Linked DNA regions of Lonchura striata. The main gene of each other region encodes a partner of the protein of the gene in region 3 in a complex. Links are inferred from orthologs where the notes say so. Each region holds a gene or a part of one and is shown on either strand. Other genes may lie near its edges. The genes, in order: LSM7, PRPF4, TXNL4A and LSM5.

The links.
Region 1: TXNL4A (region 3) and LSM7 share a complex: the UniProt entries of both Homo sapiens proteins name them as parts of the precatalytic spliceosome. The link is inferred for Lonchura striata from reciprocal best matches to the Homo sapiens genes TXNL4A and LSM7.
Region 2: TXNL4A (region 3) and PRPF4 share a complex: the UniProt entries of both Homo sapiens proteins name them as parts of the precatalytic spliceosome. The link is inferred for Lonchura striata from reciprocal best matches to the Homo sapiens genes TXNL4A and PRPF4.
Region 4: TXNL4A (region 3) and LSM5 share a complex: the UniProt entries of both Homo sapiens proteins name them as parts of the precatalytic spliceosome. The link is inferred for Lonchura striata from reciprocal best matches to the Homo sapiens genes TXNL4A and LSM5.

What each region holds. Positions count from the first base shown.
Region 1 is NC_134630.1:1,560,407-1,568,345, forward strand, and holds the start of LSM7 (U6 snRNA-associated Sm-like protein LSm7), read left to right. Parts: upstream 1-4,929; 5' UTR 4,930-4,980; coding exon 4,981-5,022; intron 5,023-5,445; coding exon 5,446-5,536; intron 5,537-6,729; coding exon 6,730-6,801; intron 6,802-7,939. Other genes in the region: SPPL2B (signal peptide peptidase-like 2B), read right to left, coding at 4,763-4,819. UniProt on the Homo sapiens protein: Plays a role in pre-mRNA splicing as component of the U4/U6-U5 tri-snRNP complex that is involved in spliceosome assembly, and as component of the precatalytic spliceosome (spliceosome B complex).
Region 2 is NC_134624.1:4,700,069-4,707,951, forward strand, and holds the start of PRPF4 (U4/U6 small nuclear ribonucleoprotein Prp4), read left to right. Parts: upstream 1-4,880; 5' UTR 4,881-5,048; coding exon 5,049-5,099; intron 5,100-5,727; coding exon 5,728-5,905; intron 5,906-6,186; coding exon 6,187-6,373; intron 6,374-6,914; coding exon 6,915-7,002; intron 7,003-7,725; coding exon 7,726-7,805; intron 7,806-7,883. Other genes in the region: anaphase-promoting complex subunit CDC26, read right to left, coding at 3,932-4,111, 4,178-4,258. UniProt on the Homo sapiens protein: Plays a role in pre-mRNA splicing as component of the U4/U6-U5 tri-snRNP complex that is involved in spliceosome assembly, and as component of the precatalytic spliceosome (spliceosome B complex).
Region 3 is NC_134603.1:84,666,514-84,673,608, reverse strand, and holds the start of TXNL4A (thioredoxin-like protein 4A), read right to left. Parts: upstream 3,009-7,095; 5' UTR 2,975-3,008; coding exon 2,836-2,974; intron 2,665-2,835; coding exon 2,492-2,664; intron 1,208-2,491; exon of another isoform or gene 1,132-1,207; intron 1-1,131. UniProt on the Homo sapiens protein: Plays a role in pre-mRNA splicing as component of the U5 snRNP and U4/U6-U5 tri-snRNP complexes that are involved in spliceosome assembly, and as component of the precatalytic spliceosome (spliceosome B complex).
Region 4 is NC_134642.1:57,672,721-57,680,172, reverse strand, and holds the start of LSM5 (U6 snRNA-associated Sm-like protein LSm5), read right to left. Parts: upstream 3,003-7,452; 5' UTR 2,945-3,002; coding exon 2,899-2,944; intron 2,481-2,898; coding exon 2,385-2,480; intron 2,159-2,384; coding exon 2,131-2,158; intron 1,525-2,130; coding exon 1,452-1,524; intron 534-1,451; coding exon 501-533; 3' UTR 1-500. UniProt on the Homo sapiens protein: Plays a role in pre-mRNA splicing as component of the U4/U6-U5 tri-snRNP complex that is involved in spliceosome assembly, and as component of the precatalytic spliceosome (spliceosome B complex).

The DNA.
Region 1 (7,939 bases), on a different chromosome or scaffold from region 3:
ATTCTTCCTTCTCTCTTTTGTCCAGCACTCAAGCAAAATTGAAGTAATTGACTGAAGATATGTTTAAATGGTCTATTGCTCTGCTTTAGCCTTCCCCAAGAAAATCACTTAGTGCTTACCAGAACTGATTAAACTTTGTTCTGTAGAGAAATATAACATCATATCCCTAACCATTGCTGCTACTAATTAGAACATTGTGGCAGACTAATTTGTCAATATCTGGTTTAATATTCGTAACGTGAACACACCAATGATTTGATAATTATGCAGTTACGCTCTCACAAATACACTTTATACATCTGTTTCTTCATATACCAGCTGAGGAACAAGATGCTAAAGATGACTGGACTCGGCAACAATGTCTTATCTTAACCTGCTCGTTCAAAAATCCATTAAAAGAATTCATCACACTTATTTATCCTTCTTTATTTCAAACCGTACTACACAGAAGTTACCATGCACCCCTAGGAGACACTCAGGGTAAAAGATGTTTTTAGAAAAACTTCTGAGAATCACAGACTGGTTTAGGTTGGAAGGGACCCTTAAAGGTCACCTTGTCCAAACCCCTGGCAATGGGCTGGGAAATCTTCAAGTATACCAAACCCTGTTCAACCTGGCCTTGAACATTTTCAGGGATGGGGCACCCACCTCCTCGCTGGACACAGTGAGTTGTGTGTTCTACCAGTGTTTTACCCTGTGTCAGTGTTTTACCACTTGCATTGTAAAATCACTCTTTTAACACACACAGTATGCCCAGAGGCAATGATGGCATTCTGCTGCAAGATGTCAGCAATGCAGTAAAGAAATATTATTGTAAAAATATACAGGAGGTAGAGATTTAATATAAGAGAATTTTTATATTTAGCTCTTCTGCATATAAATGGTCTTTGTTAACATATGCAGCAACTTTTTCCCTCTTTTATAACACTAGTATTAACTAAGTCCTTTAGAACCAATGACATTTGTCCTGAACATGCTGATATAGGAGGTCACTGATTAGTTCAGTGCAGATTAAAGCCACTTGAGCACAGGGCAAATTTCCAAGATATCTGTGGAGACAGAGAGACACTACTGTGCATACACTGTGAGGAAACAAGAACTCCAACTCCGTGCTATAGCAGACTTGTTAAGTCATATCTCAGGTATCCAACCATAGCACCTAAACTACTTTCAACAGAAACAAGTAATTTAGAAAAGTAACCTGTACTTATTATCTTGAATTTGATTTTGAAGAGTAACAAGCAACAGAGATGCAAATACAGTCACACACGAAAGACAAGAACAAAAGAATGTTCAATTATACACAATTTTGCTTTCTGAGCTATTTAATGGACATTCTTCAAAGAAATATTAAGGGAGTAAAAGGTTCCTAGTGTTAAGTGCTCAACACATTTTAGAAGCTATTTGGATTTGTGTGCCAAAAGCTAAATGAAAGTCAAGCATGAGAGGAATTAAAGGAAATATGAGCAGGGCTAAAAGCAAAAGGGGGAACACAGAATTTAAGAAACTCTGTGGAGAACACAGTCTGTGGATAATGTGGATTAACAGGCATTTTTATAAAGCTATTATCACTTAGAAGCAAAGCATAGTTCTGAAGTTTGTTCTTATCCACTTTGATGCATCCAGTTTTGTTTTTATTAATGTCAGTAGGTATGAGACAACAAAAGTTCAAGCAGTGCTGCTGTTGCACTGGCATAGTGGCAACATTTATGATTCCTTATTTCTAGAGACCACTTCATATCCTAGATTAACCCAGGAGAAAATGCCATCTCCTGTGCAGATCCTATATAATGTGCCTACAACCCCAAAAGGCTCTTTTCCAAGTGCTTGGATACCAAGTGCAGTCTTTTTCAAACACAGAAAAACAACAGCTGCTGTGAAAATAAGGTATATTATAATACTTGCATCTTGATCCCATGGCTTAAAAAGCACACAATAGTGTATAATTAACACAAAAGGAAGTGTTTTCTATAAAGCTGCAAAACTGGAAAAGGTTTTCACACAACAGAAATGTAAAATCTGAGGGCAGAATTTAACAGACAAACGAGCTAATCTAATGTTTGTGGTAATAGAAGGGCATACTTGTTAGCTCTAAATCTCATCAGGGCCTTCCACAGATCAATGCATAAAAGAGAAGAATGCTCCCCAGTTTTTCTGCTGTGCAATTTTTTTTAGGTGAATTAATGTATTTCAGAGGCAAGCACTGGACTTGCAAGCTGAATGATAGAAGAAGGCGGAGAGAAAGAATTCAGCTCACCAGTATTTCAAGAAACTTCAGCATGAGTGACTGAGCCAACTCAGTATCTGTCTTGTTTGTTCCTCCCTGCCTCTGGCCCCACACTCACGTGGATGTCCTTTTCTGCTTTCAGTAGCTCTATTAACTGACCTGGCCACTCATATCTCAGACATTGGGAGCTGTGTTCCTTGAAGAAGGAATGAATGAGCTATCCTACTCTTACGGTAGGTACCATGCCAGAGTTCCCAGGAGCTGGAGTCATTCTGTCCCATTAACTGCACTGACCCATCTGGAGAAAAGCAACAGCAGACAGCAAAGCTGCACACAAATAAACACTCCTTCAACAAACACTGTACAGTGCAGAGAGCTACATATTCATAATGCACTAATACCAGAAGACTAAATTATCAGCTACCACCTTAATGCAGAATTTCAGACAGACTTTCAAATTCTTTGGACCCATATCAGAGTGCCCTAATTTAAAATACAAACCCATCACCACAATTCAACATATTCTTCTGAAAGCTGCTATAGTGAAGGCCAGCTAGATCCAACACATTTGCTGCAGATCATATTACTATGTTCATCACTAGTCAAAGGCTCACATATCTGCTGTTGTTACAGGAAACTGAGGGGTAACAATGCCTGGAATGAATGGGAACTTAAATGAAATGTGAGAACTCGAATACCAAAGCAAGATCTAAGTGCAGACTGTCCTTGGATCTATAAGAACACACCATTCTTAAAGTGTTCCCAGATGAGGACCCAGATTTGGAAGAGTCATGCCTCAGTAACCAAGCTGATCCTTCTCCCAAAATAAGAAGATAGACGCATATGTGGACACTACCTCCTCTTGCCCCAGGGAAAACAAATAAACAAAACATTCCTAATATCCTGTTTCAAGGAGAGAGACAAAGGTATATGCTCACTAAGGCAAGAGTAAGGCACTAAGAATGAGTAAAGCTGGCACACAGCAGCTCCTGACAACAGCTGTCAACTCTGTCCCCCAGAATAACTCCAGCCATCAGTCACAGGGGTACCAAACCAGGACTAGTGCAGCAGAGCACTCTTCTCTGCCTCACACTAAGGAGGATGTACCACTCAAGCCATCCCAACAAGTGCAAGCACAAGAGATGCAGAAGTTATGCACAATACAAGGTAATCAAGCAAATTTTTAAAACACTAGCTTGGCTAACAGAAGCATACTGGCAGTACACAGTAAATCCACTTTTCACTGCAGCAGCAGGACTGTTTCAGCACCCTGGCCAGTCTGCCCAAGCTTATTCAAGTACATTAACACTTACACTGCACAAATATACCAAATGTTTACAGACAGGAATGTGCTGCAATGCATGGAGCTGAACGCAAGACCTCCAAGTACCCACCGGTGGACTATCTCACCGCTGTCTTTCTGCGCTGCCATATGCTCACCTTCCCCAAACTGATGGATCAAACTGACTCCATGCCAGTCTTTGACTCATTTTTGTTAATTCATTAATTAAATTAATCTTGTTAATTAAAGCTTATTAATTTGTCGGGCCTATACGGCCACTACTAATCCCTGCAAAGCATCAGTGGAGATGACAAAAAGCATGGGGCACGCAAGAGCGTAATGAAGAGAATGGATAAAAAAGGGGATGATACAGAAATAAAGAAGTTAGCTGACAACCAGACCACTCTGTAACTAAAGATTACTGGCAAGGAAACAGTAAGGAGACAGAGGGAGAAGAAGGAAAAATTAGAGTTCCATGTTACACCAATAATATTCAAGAAGCCATAGCACACTCCAAATTGTCTAATAAACAGTCAAGAAGTTTAAATGACAGTTAAAAATTTTGAGAACACAAACCAATTAACTTAAAAGGCAAAAGCTATGCACCATGCAATGCAATTGCTAGAAATCCACTCTCTCCTGTATCAGGATTCATGCCTAGTATCATGCCTAGTTCTCACACCCTTAAAAATGTATCCACAAAACGAATTAATATTTTAGTAATGATAATAAAAGACCCAAGACAGACTACAGAGTCACTGTCAGCAGAAATCCCTTCTTTTCTGCTGAAAGCTTCCTCACAGGGAGTCTGTCAGTCAGGATAAAACAAATCGTCCCTGCGAGGATCCGGCCCGGGGGCTCGGCTGCGCTCTCCTGCCTAGGGCTGCCTGGCGAGGATGCTGGGCTTTGCCTGGCCCCGAAGTTTTGGGAACTACGAGGAAAACGCTAGTTAATGCGGAAAGAGTAAAAAAGTTTCAGAGAAGCCCAGACACACAGAATCAATACTGCCAAATCGCCGAGGGCAGGGCCAGCAGACCCATGCGCTCCGCTGCCTTCCTGCGGCCACGGCTCGGGCCCGGCCCGCTGCGGGCGGCTGCAGCACCTCTGCGCGCCCACGGCAGGCGGCTCCGGGCACGGCCACGGCGCACGGCCCGCCCGGGCCCGGCTGCCCCCCGCCCTCAGCCGGCTGCCCGCGCGTGGCTCGGGAGCACACAGCCCGGCACAGCCCGGCACAGCCCGGCACAGCCACTGACCTGCGGCAGCAGATGCAGGAGCAGCCAGAGGCGGAGCCAGGCCGGCTGCGCTGCCATGCCGGGCCTGCCTCGCCGCCGCCGCTTTGTTCCGACCTGGGCCGGGCCGGACCCTTCCGTACCGGGCACCCAGAGCCCGCCCCGGACGTCCCGCCTCAGCGCCCCGAGCCGCCAACGGGCTCCGGCGGGGCGCGACGTCACTTCTGGCGGTGCCGAATGAAATGGCGAGCGGCGGCGGCGGCGGCGGTGCGGGGAAGATGGCGGTGAGGAGCGGGGCGGGGCGGGGCTCGGCGGCGGCGTGTGCGGGGCTCGGCGGCGTGTGCGGGGCTCGACGGCGGCGTGTGCGGGGCTCGACGGCGGCGTGTGCGGGGCTCGGCGTGTGCGGGGCTCGGCGGCGGCGGTGCGGGGCTCGGCGTGTGCGGGGCTCGGCGGCGTGTGCGGGGCTCGGCGGCGTGTGCGGGGCTCGGCGGCGGCGGTGCGGGGCTCGGCGTGTGCGCGGGGCTCGGCGGCGGCGTGTGCGGGGCTCGGCGGCGGCGTGTGCGGGGCTCGGCGGTGCGGTGCTCGGCGGCGGTGCCCGGTGTGTACCCGCGCCCCCGTCCTGCCGCCGCGGAATCCCGCGGCAGCGATCTGGGTCCGTGTTTCCGTGGATGGCGCGTTTTAACTGGGCTGCCTGTGCTCTGCCGTAGGATAAGGAGAAGAAGAAGAAGGAGAGCATCTTGGACCTCTCCAAGTACATCGACAAGACGATCCGGGTGAAGTTCCAGGGCGGGCGGGAAGGTGAGCCCGGCGCGTGGCTGCAGCACGGAGCTCTTTTCGCCTTTCGGCGTTTTCCCTCAGCCGATGCCTGTCGACTCTGCCCTCCTGCTCATGCCGCTTTCCCATCAAGGGAAGCGGAGGAGTAGTGAGTGCTTTTACTTATTAGAATTTGCAGTTACCGGTGCAAAGCTTCTCTCGTTTAACTATTTCACTCATCTTCTGGGTGCACCTTTATCCTTATGGCTCATCTGTGCATCTCTTCTTTTATTGGTTGTTTTGAACAGCCTTATTTTGGCTGGGTTTTTGTTTTTTTTTTTTTTTTGGCATTGCAAGGATGCACTTAAAGGAACAAAGAAACATTTATGGATGTAGTAATTAATACAACTGTCGTGCCTTTCATCTCTTGACATGGTAAGCATGCCTGGAGTTCGTGGTTCAATATATGCCACTGTGCCTTTGCATTCCCATCTCTTCCCAGTTGGGCAGGTACATCCCAATGCAGTTGGTGCTACCCACAGGCACTTGTTGGTCCAAGCTTACCATGTGCTGCATTTTAAAACTCCACTGGGACCTTATGCTTATAAGGGTTTGGAAGTTACTTGAACTCCTTACTGAGAAGTGTATTTGTCAAACTGGGAAGTTGCTCGGTGTAATTTTGTAATATATGTAGTGACTAGTCTTGTGGAATCAAGTTCTCCATTAGGACAAAGTGCTGGTCTATCTGCAGTGCCTTCCTGTGAGGCAGTGCTTATGTTAAAGACATCATGTGCCAGAAGAGCATCTGGAAGATGGGGTTTCTGAGGAAAGAACTTAAAATATGGTCTTGTTTTGTTTTTAACCATAACCTTTCATTAAGGATATTTATTTTGTTTTGTAGTTGCCTTTTTTTTCTTTGTGTGACTTATACTGATTTGTTATATCGTATTCTTAAAATGCCCTTGAAATTGACTGAAAGCAAACATGTTAGTGTCTTGAAGAACATTTGGAAGAATGAATTGAAAAGTCTCTAAGTTTTAATTGGTGCAATGCAGAGCAGTTTTTGTGTACTTGCCATTGAAAAAGAGGACACTGTTTAATACCTCTGGACTCACATGTTTGGTCTTGCCTGAAAGAGGGAACAGGGCTGGAGAACTCAGTGTAACTTTCTTGAAGTCTTATGTTGCTGTATACCTTGTTTTGGTCCTAATCATTGTTTTCTGTGTGGTCTTCAATAGCAAGTGGTGTCTTGAAAGGGTTTGACCCTCTTCTCAACCTTGTGCTGGATGGTACCATTGAGTATATGCGAGGTAAGTAATATGTAATCTTTGGGAAGCTTCCCCTCCCTGAGTGGCTTTCTTGACAGAAATTTTACAGCTCTGTGTGTGAATAAGCAGAAACTGCAGATTAACATCACCCAAACTACAGCATGCTTGGGATAACTGTAGACATACAGGTGAAGGGTCTATGGGACCTGACAACATGTTCCTGAGGGAATTGGCTGTTACAGTGCCCAAGCTAGTCTAAAACATTTAAAAAGTGATGGCAGGCAGGTGATGGGAAAAAGGGAAACATTGAACCCATTTTTCAAAAGGGTAGAAGGGAGCCTGGGAATTACTGTTCTGTCAGCCTGACCTCTTGTGCCTGAGAAGATCATGGAACAGATCCTCCTTGGAGCTCTGCTAAGGTATTTGGAGGACAGGGAAGTGATTTTAGACATCCACCATGGCTTTACCAAGGGAAAATCCTGTCTGAACAACCCAGTGGCCTTCTGTGATGGAGTGACTCCATCAGTGGCCAGGGGAAGGGCTTACAGATGTCTTTTTTTCTGTACTTCTGTAAAGCCTTTAACACAGTCCCCCACTATCCCAGCAGCAGGCCCCTGACCAAGTAATAATTAGCATTGACTCCATGATTCACAGAAGGCTGATCAGTCTCTTTATATATATCATTATTAAGAAACCCATCGCTTTTGTAGACTGTTATGATACACCTAGACCTAATTGGTCCTCCAATCCAAACACCATTGGCTAATTAAGAAATCACCCTTTGGTAAACAAGTCTCCATAACACATTCCACATGTTCACAATAACAGGTGCAGCAAGCCAAGATAAGAATTGTTTCTCATTCTTTTCTCTGATCTTCTCACAGACTTTTCCCAGAAAGGCCTGGGAAAGTTGTCTGTTGTTCTCTGTGGCCAGAGAAACCCCAGAACATCCTTCTCCCTGAATTGAAGGAAATGGATTTGATGGGTGGACTGTTTGGTGAATGTGGAATTGGTTGGATGGTCATATCCAGAGGGTAGTAGTCAATAGCCTAATGTCCTCGTGAACATCAATGACCAGGGGTGTCCCTCAGGGGTCTCTGTGGGGACCAGTACTGTTTAGTGTCCATCAGTGACATAGGCAGTGGGATCAAGTTCATCCTCAGTCTGCAGGTGACACACC
Region 2 (7,883 bases), on a different chromosome or scaffold from region 3:
GCCCATGCTGGAGGTGCAGGTTCTCAGTGCAGTGGGGACAGTGAAGAACTCTGCTGTGAGCTCTGCCCAGTGCCCAGGCAGGACAGGCTGTGAGGGGGCAGAACCGCCCTCCTGCCTGTCTGGTGCCAGGCCAGGCTTGGGGAGCAGCTCTGGTTTAGCACCTGGATGTTAAAAAGGTTGTGCAGAGCTGGAGGTGGTTGTGCAAAGCTGGAGTCTTCCCTCTATCCACATTGCCCAGTTTGTGCCTGTAACTGGCTGGAAGAGAAGACAGTGGGAATTTGGGAAAGGCACTGAGAACAGGCACCACTTCCAGACTGGGACTGGTGGCTGGGACATGCCATGACAACAGGGAATCCTGCCCGGGCTAAAGCCTCTGGGCACACACAGGAAGGTGGTTTTTTTCCCCTGAATATGCTGCTGGTAACTTCTGGCAGCAGCTGTGTGAGGAAAGCTGATCTTTGGAATGAGATTTTTTAGGCCCTGAGCCTTAGGGAGTGAAACCATCCCTGTGTACCTGGGTGCTCCACGGTGCTGGTGCTGCTGTCCCTGCACAGAGCCCACTCTCCCACCCTGTGTAAGGAAATTCAGAACTGCTGCTACCAGGGCTTGAATTGCACCTCCTGGGCTGATGCCAGGTGTTTACTTGGACATCTTGTTTTCTCTGGGCAGTGCAACTAGAGAATAAAAGGAGCTGAGTTAAACACAGGCTTAGGTTCCTATATAGCTGCTTTCTGTAGCAAATTCATATCTGGATGAGAGAGGCAAAGTTATTTTCATGGAAAAGTTCTAGCCGTGTCCTGCTGAGAGACAGGAAAAGTGCTTCCTTCCTTCCCCAGTCTGATCTTTGAAGGGAGTTCTGTCTGTGACAGAACCTGCTGGTGCCCTTTCTGCACCTGTCACAAAGGTAAAACTCTGCTGTGCCTGCAGGCAATCATGGGAGGGGACAGCTGACCCTCCCCACCCCTGGAGAGCTGGGAGGATGTTAGTGTGGGCAGAGAAAATGAACAATCCCTTCCCACTCCTGCTGGAACTGAGAGGAAATCTGTCTGTCAGAGAGAACTAGAGCTGTTAAAAGCTGGAGATGGTGTTGATGTGGGAGGTTGGCACTGCAGGGCTTGACCCCTGCAGGAGCTCAGGGTGACACTGCCACTGCTGCCATTGGTTTTTCTGGAAGGGGGTGGAATTGTTGCCATCACAATCACAGGCTGGAGTGAGGAGCGGCTCTGTGGTGACACTGGTCACCTCATATACCTCTTGCTGTGTCTTTCTTTGGAACAGAAGCTGCTTGGCCTGATCTTGCTGTCACCTTTTAGCCACTTTTCTGTGTATCCAAGTGGCCAGACTTGAATTCTCTGGGGATGACTTGGAGATCAGGCTGTGGCTCATGCAGTGTCACTCTGGTTCTTGTTAAGCTTTTCTGTCTCATTCTGCTTGTACCACTTGTGCCCCTGGAATTGTTTCCCCCCAGAATGAGCTTCCCTTCTGCTCAGAGAGGGCACACAGCTTCTCCAGCGTGCACAGGGAGGGGACACTGCCCTGGCAGGGCTCACCTGGGCACGAGTCTCAGGTGCCCCAGCAGCTCCCACAGCCTGCACGAGGGGTGGTGAGGGCACCCTGGGCTCCCAGGGAAGGTGAGAGGGGAAGTGGCTGAGAGGAGCAGGCGAGGCCGTGTCCCCTGTGCTCCGAGCTCCTGGGGCACCGCTGGGGACGAGGCGTGTCCAGGCTGCTCCTCCTGCCGCGGCTGTGCAGTTCAGATTGTCCCCAGTTCAGTGTGACAGTCCAGAGCAGCCATCGACCGTCCCTGTCGCAGCGTCCCGCTGCCACCAGATGCCAGCACGGTGTGCTCCCAGCCGGGCTGTGCGTGCAGAGCCGGAGCAAAGCCTGAGCTCCCTGCGGGCGGGATCGGCAGCTCTGGGCAGCCCCAGCCCCGCTGCTGAATTTAGAGGTGTCCGGGTCGCACGGTGGGGGAGGGCTCGCAGGGCCGGTGTGGACAGACATGGACAGACATGCAGCATGCTGGGCTGTGCTGCCCTGCTCGGGGTGACATCCTGTGCCTGGCTCTGTGCCCCGTTTGCTCTGCACACGCTGAGCCTCCACATTCTCATCCACGAGGGAGCTCGGAGCATCCAGGCCCTGTCCCTCCGAGGGCTTTTGTTGCTTTTCTTTGAGTGCCTTTTGAGTTTGTCTGGAGCCAGTCCCACCACCCAGCAGGATTTCTAGTTTTGTTTACAGTGGACTGTCAGTTCTGTTTTTACTCTTGCTTTTTGTGGTGGTAACTTGTCTGATGTTACTGTGAATATCAAGAATCTCCTGTACATAATTAACCAATAAAATAGATGGCATTTTACTGTGCTGGGGGTGTGTTTTGGGAACGGTCTCAGGGCAGCCCTTGGAGGGAGCACAGGGCCCAGTGTTCCTGTTCAGGTGCTGTGGGGAGTGAGGAGCAGCATCCTCTGAGCCTCCCCAGCTCCCAGGAACTTGTCCTGAAGCTGCTGGAATGGGGTTCACTGAGAAGTCTTTGTTCCAGCTCAGTCGCACTTTGCAGGTGTGGGGAGGGATGGAAAGAGAAACTGGTGCCTCCCAGATCTGCCTGCCCTGGAGAAGAGTTTCAGGGAGATGTAAGAACCTCCTGAGGTGTTGTCCTCTCACAGCTGGGGCCTCTTGGGAATGCCAGCACAGCAGAGCAAGCCCTGATCATTGTTTGTGGTGTTAGACAGGAAAAGCAGCTCTTTTCTAGGCTGCTCTGGGGCTCTTCCCAGTTGGAAAAGTTTGAAGTTCTGTACATTTTCCCAGCCTGACCTGAAATTTGACGCACCTACAACACGGGAAGCGTGAATTTAACTGGAGTCCACTTTGGAGGAATGCTGAAAAACCAGACCTGGTCATTTTGCTGAAGATGGCAGGACACAGCCCTGGGCAGAGGCAGGGAGAGCCTCCAGCTCCTGCATTCCCTGCTGTGGCAGCCTGCCCTGCTCCTTCCCCAGGCTGCAGAGAGCAGTTTCCTGAGCACCAAGGAGCTGCTCAGGTTTTTATGTTGCTTCCTTCAGCTCACCCCACTGTGTGACTCCTGTCAAGTGTCCTCCACTGTCAGACTCCTCCTGAGTCTGACACCTTCCTCTCACTAAATCAGATCTGACCTCACCCTGCCCAGGCCCCTGCTGAGGAAATCCATGTGCCCTTGGCCTTTTCACAGAACACCACCAGCCATAAGGAACTGTTTGGTGGCCTTTGATCCAAGCAGCAAACAGCTCTGAGCTCCATTCCAAGGGCAGCTGGGGTGGCACCAAGCAGAGCTGGATGGAGGTGGAACAGGGAGGTGCAAAGGAAAAGCTGCTCAAACAGAAAATCTGGGCTATCATCCCACATCCATGTGCCCAGCCCACGGCAGGTCTGCAGCCACTCCCTGCTGAGGGCCCAGCTGTGACATGGATGGGGAAGCAGCTCTGGGATGCATTTGGGACCAGCTGATTGAACAGACCGGGAATTCTTTCCTGGTTCCCTCGAGAATGGACAGAGCAGTGCCTGGCACCCACAACTGTGGCACCTTTATCCCAAAACACTCATCAGACACCTCCAGGACCTTCTCCTCAGTGGGCCACCAGCGGGCAGGGCTGGAGGCTGAGGTGGCCACACTCCATTGTCTGGTTTAGATCAGCAGATCACTTTCCCGGAGGATCCTCCCGCAGAGTTTCATCCTCCTGCCCACAGGAGCAGGGAACGGGGTGCTCGAGCTGTTCCACCCCACCTGGGCACTGCAGCCCTTTACAGCAGCTCGTGGGATGATTATTCGTTTCTTTAAAAAAATACGTGTTTATTTAAAACAAAACACTCGGCAAGGGAGCGATCACGGCCATGTTAACCAAACATAAAATGCGAAAATGCAACAGCTCAGAGGGGGGCGGCGCGGCCCAGCGGGGCCGGGGCTGCCCCGTCAGAACTCGAAGGTGCCGAAGTGCGCGGCGCGGCCGCCGGCCTTGGGCTGCGGCTTGTACCCGATGCGCTCGTTGATGAGCTGCTCGCGGCTCTTGTGCTCCGTGCCCAGCGCTCCGATCGCCGCCGCCTCCTCGCCGCCCGCCGCCGCCTCCGCCTCGTCCCGCTGCTTCCTGCGGCTCTGCGGGCGAACGGCCGGTCAGGGCCGGGGGCGGGCCCAGCCCCCCGCGCCCGGCCCCGCGCGCACCTCCAGCTCCTTCCGCACGCTCTCGAACTCCTCGATGTCGTCCAGCTTCAGCTCCAGCCGCGTCGGCTTCCGACGGAGCATCGCGGCCAGAGGCGCCGCCACCCGCGGCGGCACCGAGCGCTCCGCCCTCAGCGGGCCGCCCGCCACAGCTCCCGGCGTGCCCCGCGCGGCCCGCCCTCAGCGGACACTTCATCTCCCGGCGTGCCCCGCGCGGCCCGCCCTCAGCGGGCACCGCCTCTCCCGGCGTGCCCCGCGCGGCCCGCCCTCAGCGGGCACCTCATCTCCCGGCGTGCCCCGCGCGGCCCGCCCTCAGCGGACACTTCATCTCCCGGCGTGCCCCGCGCGGCCCGCCCTCAGCGGGCACCGCCTCTCCCGGCGTGCCCCGCGCGGCCCGCCCTCAGCGGGCACCTCATCTCCCGGCGTGCCCCGCGCGGCCCGCCCTCAGCGGGCACCGCCTCTCCCGGCGTGCCCCGCGCGGCCCGCCCTCAGCGGGCACCGCGCCTCCCGGCGTGCCCCGCGCGGCCCGCCCTCAGCGGGCCGCCCGCCACAGCTCCCGGCGTGCCCCGCGCGGCCCGCCCTCAGCGGGCACCGCGCCTCCCGGCGTGCCCCGCGCGGCCCGCCCTCAGCGGGCCGCCCGCCACAGCTCCCGGCGTGCCCCGCGCGGCCCGCCCTCAGCGGGCGCCGCGCCTCCCGGCGTGCCCCGCGCGGCCCGCCCTCAGCGGGCGCCGCGCCTCCCGGCGTGCCCCGCGCGGCCCGGAAGTGGCCGTGAGGCGCTGGAGCCCGGCGCGGCGGGTCTCTCCCCGTTCCCTTCTCTGGTTCCCGCTCCCCTTCCGGGCTCTTTTCCGTTCCTGGGCTTGTTCCCGCTCCCGCCATGGCCGCCGCGCGGGCTCCGGCGGCGCGCGGTGCGGCCCGGCCCCCCGAGGTGAGTGTGCGGAGATGGGGGCGGCCCCGGGCCTGTTCCCCGCGCGGCCGCGGCGCCGGCGGTCGCGCCTGCTGCTGCTGTGTGGGATTTGCGGTGCTCCGGTGACACCGGAGCCGTTCAGGGGAGCCCAGGGCTCGGTGCTCTGCGTTCTCACCCGGTCCTGGCGCCTCCCCTGAGGAGCCGCTCGCTTTGGGCTGGGGCGCGGCACCGCTCCGGGCTGTGCCGGTGCAGGAGGACGAACAGCTCCGTGTTCCAAAGCTTTTCAAAACATACCTCTGCAGATAATAAATAAGAGGCACCCAACGCTGCCTGATGGCAGCATTTCAACGCGGCATTTTGCTCTTGTGCTTCGGCCTTCGGGCAAAAACCTCAAAGTCCGGCGGCTGCTCCGGCCCTGGCGGTGCCCAGGCCAGGCTGGACGGGGCTGGAGCAGCCTGGGGCCGTGAAGGTGTCCCTGGCACGGCAGGGTGGGATGGATGGGCTTCAGTTGCCTCCATCCCCAGCCGGCGTGGCACCGAGAGGCTGTATGTGTGCACAGTGCCCGTTCTCCTGGCACAGCCGGCTCTGGCACAGCCAGGCTGTTAGCTGCCCCCTGTCCCAACCCCTGCTCCTCTGGCTCTCCCTGCAGCCCCCCAAGGCCAAGCCCCCCGAGGAGGCCGAGGCTGCCCCGGCCAAGCGGGCGCCCATCTTCTACGGGAGCCTGGAGGAGAAGGAGCGGGAGCGCCTGGCCAAGGGCGAGGCGGGGCTGCTGGCCAAGGAGGCCATGAAGGCTGCCATGGAGGCTGGCAACATCAACATCAGCAGCGGTGAGGCTCTGCAGACACCCCTCGTCATCCCTGCCCGCAGAGGTGGCACTTGAAATGCCTCTGCTGGCTCTCTGGGCATCGCCTCACAGCAGTCAGGGTGGGAGGCTCCGTGCTTGGATCTCTCCAGGGGCTGAGGGAGGGGTGCAGCGTCCTTCTCTGGGGACATGCCACACCCTGCTGTGTCACCTGCTGCGGGTGGCCCCGCTGCGGGTGATGTGCAGAGCTCCCCGGCTGGCCCTGGCCGTGCTGCTGCGTGTGCTCAGGCTGTGTGTGTGTGCCAGGGGAGGTGTTTGACCTGGAGGACCACATGAGCGAGCGGCAGGCCGAGGTGCTGGCGGAGTTCGAGCGCCGCAAGCGCGCCCGGCAGATCAACGTGTCCACGGACGACTGCGAGGTCAAGGCCTGCCTGCGGGCCCTGGGCGAGCCCATCACGCTCTTCGGAGAGGGCCCCGCGGAGCGCAGGGAGAGGTGCTGTGTCTGCAGGGATGGCCACCCTGCAAATCCCTGAGCCCCTCCTGCCGTGCCACTGCTGTGCCACAGGGCAGCTGGCAGAGCTGGGGGTGTTCAGGCTGGGGAAGGGAAGGCTCCAGAGCCTGCCAGGGCATCAAGGGGCTCCAGGAGAGCTGGAGAGGGATTGGGGACAAGGGATGGAGGGACAGGACACAGGGAATGGCTCCCACTGCCAGAGGGCAGGGATGGATGGGATGTTGGGAATTGGGAATTGTTCCCTGGCAGGGTGGGCAGGCCCTGGCACAGGGTGCCCAGAGAAGCTGTGGCTGCCCCTGGATCCCTGGCAGTGCCCAAGGCCAGGTTGGATGGGGCTGAGAGCAGCCTGGGACAGTGGGAGGTGTCCCTGCCATGGCACTGGATGAGCTTTAAGGTCCCTCCCAGCCCAAACCAGTCTGGGATTTCTCTTGTAAGAACCCTAAGGCAGAAGGAATGTCACAGTGATGTTTGTCAGGTGAGCTGAGAATCCACTGGCTAAATCCAGCTTCATGACTCCTTCCAGGTTAAGGAACATCCTCTCAGTGGTCGGCACAGACGCGTTAAAAAAGACCCGGAAAGATGATGACAGGTCCAAAAAGTCCAAAGAAGAGGTAAGGGTGTCTCCTGTCCCCTGACAGAAGGGAGGGATGTTATATCCATCTCTGATATATCCTGCACTCCTGGCTTTGGCCAGCCTGGGAATTCTCATGGTATCCCTTCAGGCTTTTTCCATGTTGCCCATTACACCAAATCCATGGCAATGGTTGGTCTCAGTGAGGAGCACCAAGTGTGGGTTTTACTCAGACTCTGCTCTGTGCTGCATTCACTGTGCAAACCAGGAGAGCAGTGTGTGGGCTCTTACCTACTGTAGCAAGTCCCTTACTTTCCTTCACACTTGGGAAGAAAAAAAAAATGTTCCTTCTGCTGCATCTGTTTCTGCCTTTGATTGCTCTTTCTGCTTGTGTCTCCTGAGTCTCTTTTACCTTATTATTTTTGAGCTTTACTGTAAGAAATAATTTCTGCAGCTCTGGGCTTTCTCTTTAGTGGGTGATGTGTAAACAAGGAGGGAGTTACATGTCTGTAAATGCAGATGGGTCAGGGTTCAGCTGGAACATTGAGAGAAGTGGCAGCATGGCAGGATTGGATCTGTAGGGCAGAGAGTTTGATTTATCTCTCCAAATCCCTTTTCCTGGGGCTCAGTTGTGTAGAAGGCCCTTAAAAAGAGGCCAGAGCACAGCAGGGTTTGGGGGCAGGTGCTGGGAGGAGCTGAAGGGAATGAATGCAGGGGCAGCAGCACCAGGGCTTTTCCATTCCTTTTATTCCTGTTTTTACAGTATCAGCAAACGTGGTACCACGAGGGCCCTCGCAGTCTGAAAACAGCCAGGCTGTGGCTGGCCAACTACTCACTCCCCAGGTGAGAGAAAACAGAAAACATTTGTCAAATCCAAGTGCAAATCCCACTGTGGGCAGCACGGGAAATCCAGGGAGTAGG
Region 3 (7,095 bases):
CACTACTTTATGGACAAATAATTCATAGGAAGAAAATACAGAAACTGAGACTAGCATTTGCAACAAATGACTGAATTGAAGGTGGCTGGCAGACTTGCATTACTGAACTGAACAGAGCAAGTACAAACCCAAAAGTCTGTACTGACAATATTTATTTGATTTTTTTTTCCTTGCTAATTGTGCTGTAACTCTAGGTATAAACTTCTAGGGGAACACAGAAAGACATTGTACTGCCAAGAGCAGTGCTGACAGCTAATAATTTTGAAAACTACAGACATCAGTAAATGGATTAACTTTGCTCAGCTTTTCATTACAAACAACCGTAGCTAAAATACCTATATGTTTCTTTCATAACTGCCTCTTTCTCCACCCCACCTTCTTCTCCTCTTTCACTTTTCATGTAACCTTACCAGAAATGCAGAGGCACAACTAATGTTTGAGAACAAGCCACAGCTATTCACACTTCTGATAATGGTTAAATAAATACACATTTTAAAAATCCTCCCTAAACCCACACTGATCCAATACAACAGTTACCTGATTTATATTCAGTAATAGATAAATCCTTTCTTAAACAAGGTGTTTTAATCTAGCAAACCAATCTTTGTATTTTAAGGGATAGGTTTTTATGAGTTCCCTGTAAAGAAAATATAAAAGTGTATTTTTAGAAAAGGTGTTTAAGGCAAAATTTGTGAACTCAATTCGTGTTTCAATCAATGTTTGATTGAAACCCTGACAAAGCAAAAAAAAAAAATTCTAACATCTTACAATTATGATTTGTTTTGACATTCAGTGAAACCTTGCTTCTTTTTCATGTAACTCTAGGGGAAAAACCCAGTCAGCTCCAAGTGGAGTACATTTCAGGGAAAACAATCTACTTTGTACTTTAACATAGCATTCTAGTTTCTTTTCCTGTGAAAACTGAAAAGAAAACCTTGTTCTCCTATCATAAAGTACAGATAAATATTACTGCTACCCAAAAACATGCTGCAGCCTAAAAGAATATTGCACCAGGGTAACAAGTGTAAAATACAGCCACATTGTTTTCAAATTTAGCCTGCAATTATAGCACGTTAACATTCTGTATTATTCTCTAGAATAAACACCTGTACAATTGGAACTTTTACTCACTCTTTAAAACAGCAGAGATCCAAACATGGCTTGTAAGCAAGAAGATGAGGTAGGATCTCCCCCTTTAATCTGCCATTTCTGCAGAGGGAGATTTTTAAATAAGAAGTTACTCTGTTCTTTCTTCCCCCAGTCACCCCTAGCTGCCAGCAGGTCTGCCAAATTGCCAAGCATCCCACCATACTAACAGTAAGTTAGTACTGTAAGTCCATACTAACAGTATCTGAGCATAACACTCCCACCAGGCTGAATACAAAACAACTGTATTAAAACATGTCACAACTCTTTACGGCATTCTAATACATCTTAACCCCTGGCTGTGGGTGTAGATTTTTAATTGTGGGGACTTTCAAGTTATTTTAAAAAAGTTCAAAGGCAAAATAAACCACAAAAACAACTCCATGTCAATCTATGCAGCATGCACAGAATTTTCTATGAAAGCAGTGAAGTTGTGGATGCCCCATTCCTAGCAGTGTTCAAGGCCAGGCTGGATGGGGCCCTGAGCAACTTGGTCTAGTGTAAGACACAGCAGAAGAGCTGGAATGAGATCTTTAAGGTCCCCTCTAACTCAAACCATTCTATGATAGCTGGCACTTTTTCCTACCCAAGTTATGTTTCTAATTCAGATTTTTTTACTTCTTTCTTCATGTGGTTCAGTTAAAGACCTGTCAATATTCTACATCTACTGCTTCGCAAATCCTTTAGCAAATATATAAAAAGGTAAATTATAGCTGATTGTGTATTCTAATTTTTCCTATCTATCTATCTATCTATCTTTCTTAAGTGACCAGATGTTTATAATCATTCAGTTTCCATCTGAAAACAGCTGTGGAGTTCAGCTCTAAAAAATTAATTCAGTCCATGTAACTCAGTGGAATGCTACTGGTGTCCATGGATAACATCACTGACAGATTAATCAGAATTATATGAATGACAGATTAATCAACACCATCCTGCACATTTTAGCACCTCACCGCTTTTAAGAGCCAAAATGAAAGTAAATTTTCAAGTCACTCAGATAGAAACCTGAAGGTATCACACATTTCCACTGTAAAGTGAGACTGCTGGGTTACTTGGAGCCGCAGTAGCACTGTTTCTGCCTGAATGCCGATGGCAGCTCAGTGACGGGTTATTAACAGGCAGCAATCTCCATTTCCGAACATCTACGATGCTCTTTTCACCCCCCAGAACACTGCAAACATCAGGGCAGTCTTTAGGAGACACTCATGAAAGTGTAACCACACAGCTTTCCCGCTGCCACCTAAAGCTGGAATACCTGTGCGGAATCCCAGTTATAAGCTGCCCCAGTCTCCAAGCAAGCCATAGGGAACACTGAGCTCAGGAGCAGAAAGCTCCCGTTTACCTTCTCGGCGATGCTGTACAGGACCTCATCCATCTTCATGCACGTGGGGTCCCAGTCGTGCCCGAAGCGGATGACCACGACCCGGTCCTCCTCCGACAGGATGGCCTGGTCGACCTGCCACCCATTGTGCAAGTGCGGCAGCATGTACGACATCCTGGCGGCCGGCTGGGAGCCTGCGGGACGGCAGGGATACACATGGAGCCGACAGCCCGGGCCCTCCCGGGGCGCCGGCGGGCGCCGAGCGCCAGCACCGAGTGCCGCCCACCCCACGCGGCCCGCCCGTCCCGCCGCGGCCCGTCTATCCCGCCGCGGCCCGTGCCCATCGCAGCCCGTCCCCAGCGCACCCCGCGGGCGCCCTTCCCTCAGAGACGGAGCGGCGGCAGCGCCGGCACGGGCGGGAAGCGGAAGGGCGGGCACGGGGCTGCGCGCGCACTCGCGCGGAGGCACACACACACACACACACACACAGACACACACACACATGCGCACGCGCACAGACACGCGCACACGCACACACGCGCACACACACACACACGCACACGCGCACACACGCGCACACACGCACACGCACACACGCTTCCGGGCGCGCTCCCCACGGGAGGAGACCCCGTCAGGGACACCCGCGTCCCGCCGCGTCCCCACGCGCAGGTGGGAGGTGGAGCCGTGCCGTGGGGATTGGTGATGCCGGCTAGCACGGAGAGGATTAAACAGAGGTGATCAGGGCCCCGATCTCCTACGCTGTGCTGCTGACCTCTGATTGTTAGTACATTCTCCTGTGCCTCCATGGGATTTGACCAAGGAGATATGCTCAGAGAAGCTGTGGATGCCCTATTCCTGGAAGAGTCCAAGGCCAGGTTGGACGAGCAGCCTGGTGTAGCGAAAGGTGTCCGTGCCCATAGCAGAGGAGCTGGGTCCAGATGCTCTTTAAGGTCCGTTCCAGCCCAACCATGCTGTGATTCTATGCTATTGCATCTCTTGGCTGTGGAAGGTTTTCTCAGTGTATTCACCCACAGCATGACAATTTCCATACCCCCAGTGTCGGCCCTGCCGTGGCAGCTGCACTGCCAGCCACTCCGATACTGGCGGTGGGGTTCCATGAGGTCTCCCGCCGCTCCAGTAATCAAAATACCACTACCGGATCACTGCGCAAACGTTCCAGTGGAAGTGGTCAGCAGCAAAACCAGCACATTCCAGCACTGGTTTCTACAATCGAGCTGGCCATTGGCATAGGCCATCCCAGACCAATCTGTTTCCTTAATTCCACAGCAGACACTAATTTGAAAGGTTAGCTTGCAGCAGGCAGGGACAAAAGTATCGTTTTCACTATAAAAATTCCCCACAAGGTGCAGCTTGGGCTGTGGTGAGCAATGTGATTTGGTGACAAATAGCTTTGCCCAACAATGCTGAGCTCTCCAAAAACTATCCAAGTCCTCCAAGTCTCGCTTTGTCGCCTTTTTAGGACGTGCGGGCACAGGAGAAGGAGAGGGAGAGGAGAGACAGTCCGATCTGGCTGTAGCCACGGGCAGAGGCAGCGGGGGCGGTGATCCCCGTGCCGGAGCTTCCCTGGGAGTCGCCAGCCCCGGCGCCGGCAGTGCCCGGGCAGGGCTGGGTTAAACGAGCGGGGCTGGGCAGGAGCGCCTGTGCCCGGCCCGGAGCGGGGCCGTGAGCTCCTGGCTCTGCCCGCTGCCGCGGGACCGAGCTGTGAAAGGCACGTCAGAAAAAACAGCCCCGCTGGGTGCTTTGGTTGTCCCTCAGGTATAGCAAGTCTTCTTCTTCAGAAAAGTTAGTGGGAGGAATTGATCCCGGATAACACAAGCTGTTAACTTTAATTGAAAACTGAGTTAGGAAAATTTATGTAGGTTTATTTTGTTATGATTTAAGTCCAAGGTGATACAGCAGTGCCAACCAACAAATTTGAGAGTAAGGAGTGCGTCAAGCTCCACAGATGAAATAAGGCAACTTCAATTAGTGCTGAAGTTAATACTTACATATATTTGCCCCGTTGTCTTAATCGAAGTCATATTTTCAAAGTTTTCTCTGCAATGCCAGGACCAGAACTTACTACACTTACCTTACATAAATCATTTGATATAAGGTAAATGTAGTAAGTTCTGGTCCTGCCATTGATTATGTGATTATGAGATTATGACTGTTTACCTACATGGAAGCATGTAGGTAAACAGTCCTATGTAAATACAAACGGAGAAGAGTCAACTTAAAAAAAAAAAAAAAAAAAAAAAAAGGGAAAAAAAAAGGAACTTAGTGATACTGCAGATGGTACTAGTCCAAAACCAAAAATGTCATATCCTTGACAGCTGTTAAATTTAGCACACTGGACAAGACATCTGATAACTGAATAATTATGTTCAGGAGCAAAGCATCAAGTCTTTCAAAACTGATTCCCTTGATGTTTGGCCAGTCAAATTTGACGTACGAATTTATTAATCCAGTTGTTATTCTTGTGTACATCGCTGTCGCAGAAGTGTCATTTACAAATAGAGCTACAGGATGTGCCCACATAGTGATGGAAGACAAACAATAAGCATTGGGACCAAGGTTGGTATCTGGAGAGCCCCCTTCCTTCTTTGAGGTTCCTTTAAGTGTTTTTTGTTTCCTGCTATCAGTGTAATTTTTTAAGATTGTATCTGGGGCAAGCAGAAGACGCAGTTGTTGTTGAACCAGTGCTGAAGGCAGTGAATGGGTCATGCATGCATCAAACAGCTGGAATGGTGGGCTCAGCGTGCTCACACACATTGAAAGATCCATCAACATGCCACTAGCCTGCTTCTAGTGCACCAGCTGGTTTGTTTATAGCTAGAGGCTTCCTCATGGGTCACCTTTCTGCTTCTGAAGTGTAGGAAAGGCTTCCAAAGTGAAAGCAAGTCTGGCTCTGCCCATCATGTGTGGTGTATTGCAATGGGTAGCGGTTGGTGATGAAAGCAGATGGAATAATACAGTGCTGCCTCATTGGCATCTACCAGTCACTTGGTCCTGTCTGACGCCCAGTTTTCCCTGCTTAACAGCAGAAGGTTTAACTGCCCTCCAGGATTACCAGATTCCGATCATTTATGAAGCTGGACAATGCCATCACAATATGACATCAACTCCTCTTTTATTCTATGCATAATTCATTCTGCAATACAAATCTAGTTTATTCTAGTAATGTTGTATGATACTCTTAAGAAATGCAGACTGCATCTGGGGAAATTTGCAATTTTGACAACTACATGTGGCTGACAACTTCAGCTGGTAAAAAAAATATTAGATGTATATAAAAACATGATCTTTGCAATTTGGTTGCACTGTTCACCTCCTTGCTTTGTTTGCTGTAGTTGAAAACCAGATACTATTATCAGAGATATTGTGGTGAACTGCAGACCTGCCCCTTCAAGCCCATGTACAAAGCAGACTGAAACTGAAGCAGAAAAGCACATCAAGGCCAGGATAAAACAGCAGTACTGGTGCTGAGCTTGTAACCATTTAATCGATGTGGTTGGGATAAGTATGAGTTTGCTCAGGGCAATGGTTGACAAAACCTTCCAACCTACACTTACACTTTTTTGTCACAGGTTTGAGTTCTGATTACTCACAGAAGGCTTTTGTGAGAGGAGTGAAGCAATAGGACACAGCTGACCAGCACTGTGTGCCCAGAATAAAGTAGCATACTGCTGTGGAAAATTGTTCTGATTCAAGTAGCAAAACATCAGATTTCCTGGACACAAGTCTAGGAGATAGAATGGGATGGAGATCAAAAGTCAGTGGAGCACAGCAAAAATAATTGTAGGAAATTAGGCACAGCTATTATTAAGATATGCAGGAAATCTTCAACTACCACTTTTGCCAATAGGAGCTCCAATTAGATGTTTGGTTGTGTGTGGAGCCCCTATCTTATTGCAGAGTGCATTTGCAGGAGTGTTGTAGAGAGGACTGGGCTCAAAACTCTCAGGGCAGAGGAAAGTTCTAGCATGAAGGACTGTGTTATCAGTGGTATCTCCTCTAGTGCTCTTCCTCACTGGTTCAGCACATAGGTGTGTTAAATTTTGCATGAGGTAAGTTCAGGTAGAGATTGGAATGTTTAAAGCACTGAAGGCAAGCAGCCTAACAGCTATCCAAGAGTGGCCCTTCATTGTGCAAATTTGTTAGATGTAAACCATCTTTGGCCGATATTTGTCAGACCTATCTGGGCCTCAGTGCCACCCTACATTGCCTGTGGCTTCACCAACCACAGCCAACAGGCAAGAAACTTTGAGTAAATTTCTAGCAGCCTGTTTCATAGCACTGCTTATAGAAAGGCATTGGTGAGTAAGCTACCAGAAAAGCTACTAGTTTTGTATGAAATCAATATTGATTCAGGAGTAACATGAAACTCTGAGAAGAACAGTTTGTAGTACTGGATTTGGATGTAAGAGTGTGGGTATTCCTTGGTGTTATAGTCTAAATCAGCTCTTGGTAAAAGTACTTGGAAGTTGTCTGACATACCACGCTAGTACCAAGTGACTGTGGATTAAAAACACTATTGAGTTCCATTTGTTTTCTGACCTACTCATGTGAATTTAAGTGATAACTTTTAAAGGAACATCATTGCTTCTTTCAGGGTGTTCTCC
Region 4 (7,452 bases), on a different chromosome or scaffold from region 3:
TACAGAATTCTGCCACATGGTTTCCAGTGACACAGACTTTGAACAAAACATCCAGTTCAGTATCTGCCTGTATGCCAAAGCACAGTAATGTCCTGGCTCATGACTTCTGTATTATATAGACTTTTATATTTTAGGTCAGAAACAAACACAACAGATGTAGAAAAAATGAAGACTGATGGCAACCGAAACACAACTGTCATTTTTCTACTCCATCAAGTAGTTATAAAATTATCAAACTAGTGCACTCACCTGACAGAACACAGTAACCAACAAAGAAAAAGCCTTTTATTCAGAAGAGGTTCAGGGGTCTTTACAAGAAAGTAATGATTTCAACTTACAAAGTCAACATTACCACTAGCACCTTTCCTAAAGAGCTGTCTTTTGTAAAATGTCAAGCATGTAAGTAAAGCAAACAAACAATCCATAGCCAAACACATTTCTACCCCAAAATCTCTATTTAGATTTTGCATATATATAAAGTACATCTGAATATCATGTCTTCATACTTCAGGTCCTTCTCCTCCAGGAACCAGCTACAAAAGAGTAAGACATTTTTGCATTAGTGCCATAGAGTTAAGTTTTACAAACCCATACATGACAGCTCTTACTTTGCAACAAACATTTGAGGACATGAAGATTTCATGCTAGACCACAAAAGTGGCTTTTTGACTCTCCCCTCCCTACAGAGGAAGTCAATTATTTCCCGAGATGCACAAACCAAAAATGCAACAGGGACTAAATCAGCATAGCACATCCTTGCAAAGGAAACAAAGAACTGAAGAACAGAAAAAAAAAAAAATACAGAAGGGAAAAAAAATATTAACCACTACTTTTACTGATATCTTTTTCATTATCAGCTGAGAACTTCTAAAGAGAAAGAGCTTCACTGGTTTTGGGATCAAAATAAGAGTAAGTCTAAAGCATGGACTTCCTCCATGGGGAAAATATGTCCCCAGAAGAGACATGAGATCTGATGCAGACATGTATCTATGTCTTGCTGAAAATTCAGCAGGTTCTTTTTCAAGGGCAACACAGTGTACCCCAGTGTAACTGGATGGTAGGAATTTCACACCATACAGGGAGTCAGAACATATGTTATCCTTTCAACATGCAGAACAATCATCAAAGCAGATAAAAGGCTTAGAAATTAACACAGGATGGCACCTGCTCTGACACACAATGGAGAAGTGCAAGATGGGTAAAACAACACAATGGAGACAACTCCTCATTCATACAGAGCCAACTTAGACTCAAATATTTCCACTTTAGCCCTCCTCTAACCACAAAAAAAAATTGGAAGTCCAGGCTTTGTGGCCAGCTATGCAGATAAGCTACTTAAACTTCCTGATGTAACGGAACTACCAGGAAAGCTCAGCTTAAAGGAGTTGAATACCATCACCAGTCGATTAACAGGCACAGAAAGTCAACACACGCAGCCTCTGATGACTCACCATAGTTATGTTATTTCCATTGAGCAGAATCTGGTCCAGCTTTGTGATTCTTCTGCCCTCAGGTGTGATCTCACTGAAGGAGCATTAGAAAGAGTAAGTAAGAACACAGAACCAGGGACAATGGCTCCAGATTCGACCATAGAACTGACAGAAATCTCTGCATTAAGGTGACCATGGTTGGAACTAACAAATAAATCAGCTACACTGCAGCATGATCTTGATAAATGGAGCACCTAGGTACAGAAAGCTAACTGAAAAGGTCTCTTCTACTCAGTACATGGAGATGTGTATTCACCCTCTACAGGCTGACAATTTTTTGAATATACATATCAACATGATATGATAAAGTAAAAACATTTAAGTTAGCTACCTCGCTGAATATTTGCCTAGGTCTTAAAGAAGTGTAAAACCAAATTAAGTACTGGAAAGTTTCTCACACAACCCATGCATAATTAGGACTACAAATAGGATCCCCATACAAGTATAAACCACGCAATAGCTACTCTATGACATGGCTGTCCTGAACAGATCACCTTCTATAGTTTTAAGTCCAATGTTAAACTAGTTAGCTGGTAATTATTCCATAAATGTAGAAACATTTTTCTAGCAGACCTTACATAGTGTTTTGTTTCAGTGAACCAAACATTAAATAGCAACAATAGGCAGAAAACGTACTTACAATTCTGTAACATCTTCTAGCACCATATCTGAAAATCCAGTTTCAAGGAAAATAACGCCCAGATTTTAAAACTAGACTAATTAATGCTATTTTCATCTTAGGCCAAATGCAATTTTACCTGAAAGTTGAAAATACCAGAATACAACCAATCCATATAAAAAGGTTCTAGTCAGTGAACTAAAAACTCTGAAGAGCTATAAATCACTTAGACCAGAGCATGAATCAGACAGACTTAAACATCCATCAAAGGATACTGACAAAGTCATCAAATCCTAGAAGTGTCCCAACTATTTCTTTGTCGCTTTTCATCACGATGTGAATGCGTGAACCGATGCACTTGTCCACAAGTTCTGTAGATACACAGAAAAGCATAGGTTCTACAAAGCAAGTGTTTCGTGCCTTACGGGTTTTTTTCTGCTTATTTACACAAACACAGACACATTCCACACAACCTTACACACTCCCCCTCTACTCTCCCACACAAACCACCCACCCCCCCGATCCTTACACCCATCCCCACTCCCACTGGCCTCCCTCAGACAGTCCCACAGCCCCACACCTCACCTCAGCCCCCCGACCCCAACACCCCCACACCTATCCCCCACTCCCATCCTCCCGGGCCGTGCGCGGGCCCCGCCGCCCGGCGCTCCCGCTCCCCGCCCGGCGCCAGCGCAGCTCGGCTCCCCAGAGGGGCCGCAGCCACCGCGGCCCCCGCACAAGGACCACGGGCCGGGCCCCGACCGGGGGCCGGGAATCCCCCGTGGTTACCGAGCGGCAGGAGCTGGGACGGGTTGGACACCGCGCTCGCCGCCATCTCGGAGCCGGCCCTGGCCAATGGCCGCCGCCTCCGCCCACAGCGACGGGGCCGGGCCGGCGGCCGCACCGCCCCCGGTGCAGGCGGGGCCCGGGAGCCGCGGGCTGCGCTGCCTCCGCGTACGGACGAGACTCGAGCGGGGCTCCCTCTTTTCCCTCTTCGTTCCCGTGCTGCCGGCCCAGGCTAGCGGCGCCGGCGGGGCTGCCGCCATTTCGATGTGCCCCCGCGCCAGGACCGCGGGCTGTCTGCTGTGCGCCGGAATGGCTCAGCTGCTGCGGCACCACGGAGCGGGCAGGTTGGAAAAGATCTCCCACGAATCCCACCACGTCAGCCAAAACATAGCACTCAGTGCCACATCCAGTCTTTCCTTATACAACTCCAGGGACACTGACTTTACCATCCCCTTGGGCAACTTCTCTGTGATTCTTTCTAATGTCCAACCTAAACCTCCCCAGCACAGCTTGAGGCTGTCCTCTCGTCCTGTCACTTGCTACCTGGGAGAAGGACACCAACCCCTGCCTGCCTCTGTGTACAACCTGTTTTTGGGCACGTGTAGAGAGTGTTGAGTCCCCCAGGTTTCTTTTTCTTGACACTGAACAACACAGCTCCCTCAGCAGCTCCTCGGGGAACTCGAGCTCCAGTTGCCCTCCTCTGGATTCACTCCAGCACCTCAATATCCTTCTTGCAGAGAAGGGCCTATTGCCAGATGAAGAATTGTTTGCACAATGGGTGGGTTAATACAACGCTTATTCTTCAAAAACCATTGACCTATGGAACTGCACAATGCTTATTCTGTAGGAAGAAGAATTGGAAAGCAGCCAGCCCAGTTGTGCCAACTTTTACCAGTTCAATAAGCCATCAGCTGTGACTTTGGTGTCCCTGACCACCAGGGATTACCAAAGAGACCCCCAGGACAGAGCACATGGAGAGAGGGGAGGGAACGTATGTTAATGACTTCAGGGAAATGATCCTCATATATATGGTTCTTCTAGGAAATCCTATCAATATGTATGTAAAATACAGCATGAATAAGATTTCGGAGGACCTATCCCGTCATGCATCCAGATGAATAAAGAATGCTGGCTTCTTAATGCTACATTAGTGTTAAGGAGTTTTTATTTTCACTGACTTTTGGTAACAGGCCCACAGCTGAGCACAGGATTTGAGGTGTGGCCTCACCAGTGCTGAGCACAGGGGAACAGTCACTGCCTGCTGTTGCTGGCCCCTCTGTTTTATGTGCAGATTTTCACCCCCCACATTTGTCCGTTGACTCACTAGAGGTGGCCATGTGGGAGGTTTTTGAAGCCATTCAGTAACTTCATCCCACCACCATTCCCAGCTGGCTTCATCTGTGCACAGTAGCCACAGGGGGCAGAGACAGCCCTCTGGGCCTCCTGGGCATGGGGAATGCTGCACATGGGGGCCACTGGCTATCACTCTGCATCACAGGAAGCCCCCAACCCTATTCAGAGAAGGAGGTGCTCACTGAAACTGTGGACACTGGAGTCACTGGCACTCACCTCTTATCCACCTGCTCCTGTCCTGCTGGGCACAGGCACCAGATGGCATCACAGGAGTTGTGCCAGTGGGAATGGGCCGTGAAGGCCCAGGCAGTACTCTCACAGGAGCAGAAGAGCACTCAGTGGACATGGGGAGTATTCTGCTGGTGCTGGGAGGTAGGAGGGCATTGGCCAGAGCTTTGCAGAGGGGAAGGAGGGCACTGACTCCTTCCTCGCCATGAAACTATCAGCAAAGTAACACTGAATACTATTGATCGTCCATATCCCAGTTCTTGTGATGGCCATTATTACTGTTCTTTGAAGGTAACCATTTCAGCATCCCTAATTTCGTTCTCCAGGCTCCATTCAAGGATGTGCCAGGTTTGCCCTGACACCAACATTTAATTTTGCATGTGAAAATTAACTGGCATTAATGGTCTGACTTGCTTATTGCAATTTTTATTTTAATTTTCTTTCTGTTTTTTCCCAAGAGGCATTGAACCCTAGATGTATCCACTTTTTAACATCACATCAGTCTACACTACATGCTCTTCTATGCCTGTTTGCTTTCCCCCAGCTTCTACTTTAAATATTCCTCTGGGAGCTTTTGAATTTTTAGGCCCAAAAGCCTTCCTCTCTTAAGATCAAAGTGCAGCTTTTTCCTCTTGTTCAGACTCCTCTTGTCTCAGAAGGCTTCCTAGTGCTCCATGAACCTAAGTCCTTGTTCTCTGCATCTCATTTGGACACTAAGACTCTGGATTTCTGTATATTCCTGTCTTCGTGCATGCAATTGACAGTGTTGCATAGAGTGCAACATCCTCATCCTCAGCTACCTCTGACAGCTGAAACTTGGCCCCTTCCATTGACCAGCATCAATGGAACAGAGATGGATCAAAATACCAATTTGTGACCCTGGAGCCTCTCACCTTGATGTTGCATAAAGCCTTTGTGCCCAGCAGCTGCCTCTCATTTAATTTAATTTAATTTTCTTTTAATTCTTTTAATTAAAAGCACAGGTACCCAGGTCTGTAACAGAATTTTCTGACAGCATCAAGTTGCTCCTTGCTGTTCTTTATGTTCCTTGCTCCTCCAAGGTGCACTGCAATCTTTGCTCTCTTGCCTAGAAAACTTGGGCCACCTGAGGAGAATATAAGTTTCAGAGGACTGCTACTGCCCTGCTACTCTCCTGAAGGTGTCTGCATTTGTCTCAGCTGCTGCCATTTGGAGAGCTCTCCAGCTGAGAAAACAAATATCCTTTCCACACAAGCAGCAGATTCTTGCCCCATAGCCACTGGTAGGAAACTATCCCTCATGAAGTAATTCCGACTCCTGCAATGCTGACCTTTGAGGGAATCTCTGCCTTCTTAAATGCCTGCATGTGCCATCTGGGGAAATCTTCTGTTGACTGAACTTCTGTAGTTCTACCAATTCAGCTAATTAACTTCTGTTGTCCTGTCCCTTCAGCTCCACACCTTACCTGTGCAAATGGCCACAGCATTTTCCCTCTTTGTGGTTTCCAGTGCTGCTCAGTTACTCCTTTACTTCTGCCTGGGTTTGGGAAAGATCTGGCCTTGCAGCCTCTACACTGTGTTCCCTATCTGCCCAGCCACTCTACGCAAAACTGCCAGAGTGATCTGTTTGCTGTCTTTCTCCACTTTCTGGAATGACACTGAAGTCTTTCTCTTTAGGCTACTGACATGGAAAAACATCATCTTCCATTTGGGTCCCAAATGCAGTGCAATAATCTCACAGCAGAAGTCTTGCAGCCCAGCCACAGGGCAGGCAAAACTATGGCAAGGGCATTGTAGTTTTGAAACACCCAAGCCAGCTTCAATATATACACTTATTCTGAGGGGAAGGGGCAAAGGAACGTATGTGGAACTCAAAGTCAGAGCTACATAAAAACTATGGAATCCTGTCTTTACTCAGAGTACCTGGTAGAGCACAGGAAGTATTATTTATTGGTCTAGAAAGTGTAAAGATATGCTCAGAGTACCCAGCTTCAGGAGTTTGCTGTCACACTGTGTTATCTCACAGACCTTGTTTCATTAAGCCATCTAGCAACAGTTTCTTCTGTCCTTGAAAGTTTCTCAGTGTTGGCAGCAAAAATAGCAGATCACTCTTTGCATTCACTTGCTGTCATGCAGTATTAATGTTAGAAACCAATGACTGGGTGTTTCCTGAAAGCAGTTTTTGGAAATGAAGATATGAAGGAAAAATCCTGACAGCCAATCAGCCAAATTGGAAGGGAAACATAAATAAAAATAAACTTTCCAAATCAATGGTTTCTTTTGAGGAGCTGGAATTAAGGAGCAGCCACCTGCTCTGCTTTAAGGCATCCCTGGAGCGCAGCACCACACTCAGACAGGTTGTCCAGTACTGTCTTCTGTCATTTAGATTGTTTCAACCTCTACAACTACACCTCAAGACTAGAACTAGACATTGTGCAAGAGTTTTGAACAATCATCAATCACCATGGACTCAAAGATACTCCACATTCCCATAGGCATGGCAAAGTGCTGGGAAGCAAACTGCTCCACTTCCCTTCTCCCTATCGCTCTTCCCTGGCTACCCTGTGCCTTCACTTTCACTTCCCAGTGACTTAATCTATGATCCCAGCCATGCAGGCCTAGCTGCGCTGAAAGCATAAACAAGAACAAGACTATGGGTTATTAGGTTTCACAAGGTGGGTAGAACGGTTTCTGTGCTGTCCTGGAGTCTGGAAGTTGTGATGAGTTGAGAGTCTTGTTCTATAGCCCGACTCAAGTATTACCTTGGAATTATTTTTACAAGTTCAATGAGGAACTTGAGACAGAAGGATTTGCCCTCCTCAGATCCACTGCCTAGTCTGCAGAATGGTGAAAAAAGAACCTTTGTTGCTCCAAATCCACAATAAAAGGAAGTAGTGTTTATCATGAGGAAAGGAAATACCTGTTCAAATGCACCTGTTTCTTCTGCCCATCTTGTACCACCATCTAGGTGTCCACATCTGGTTGATTCAAAGACTGT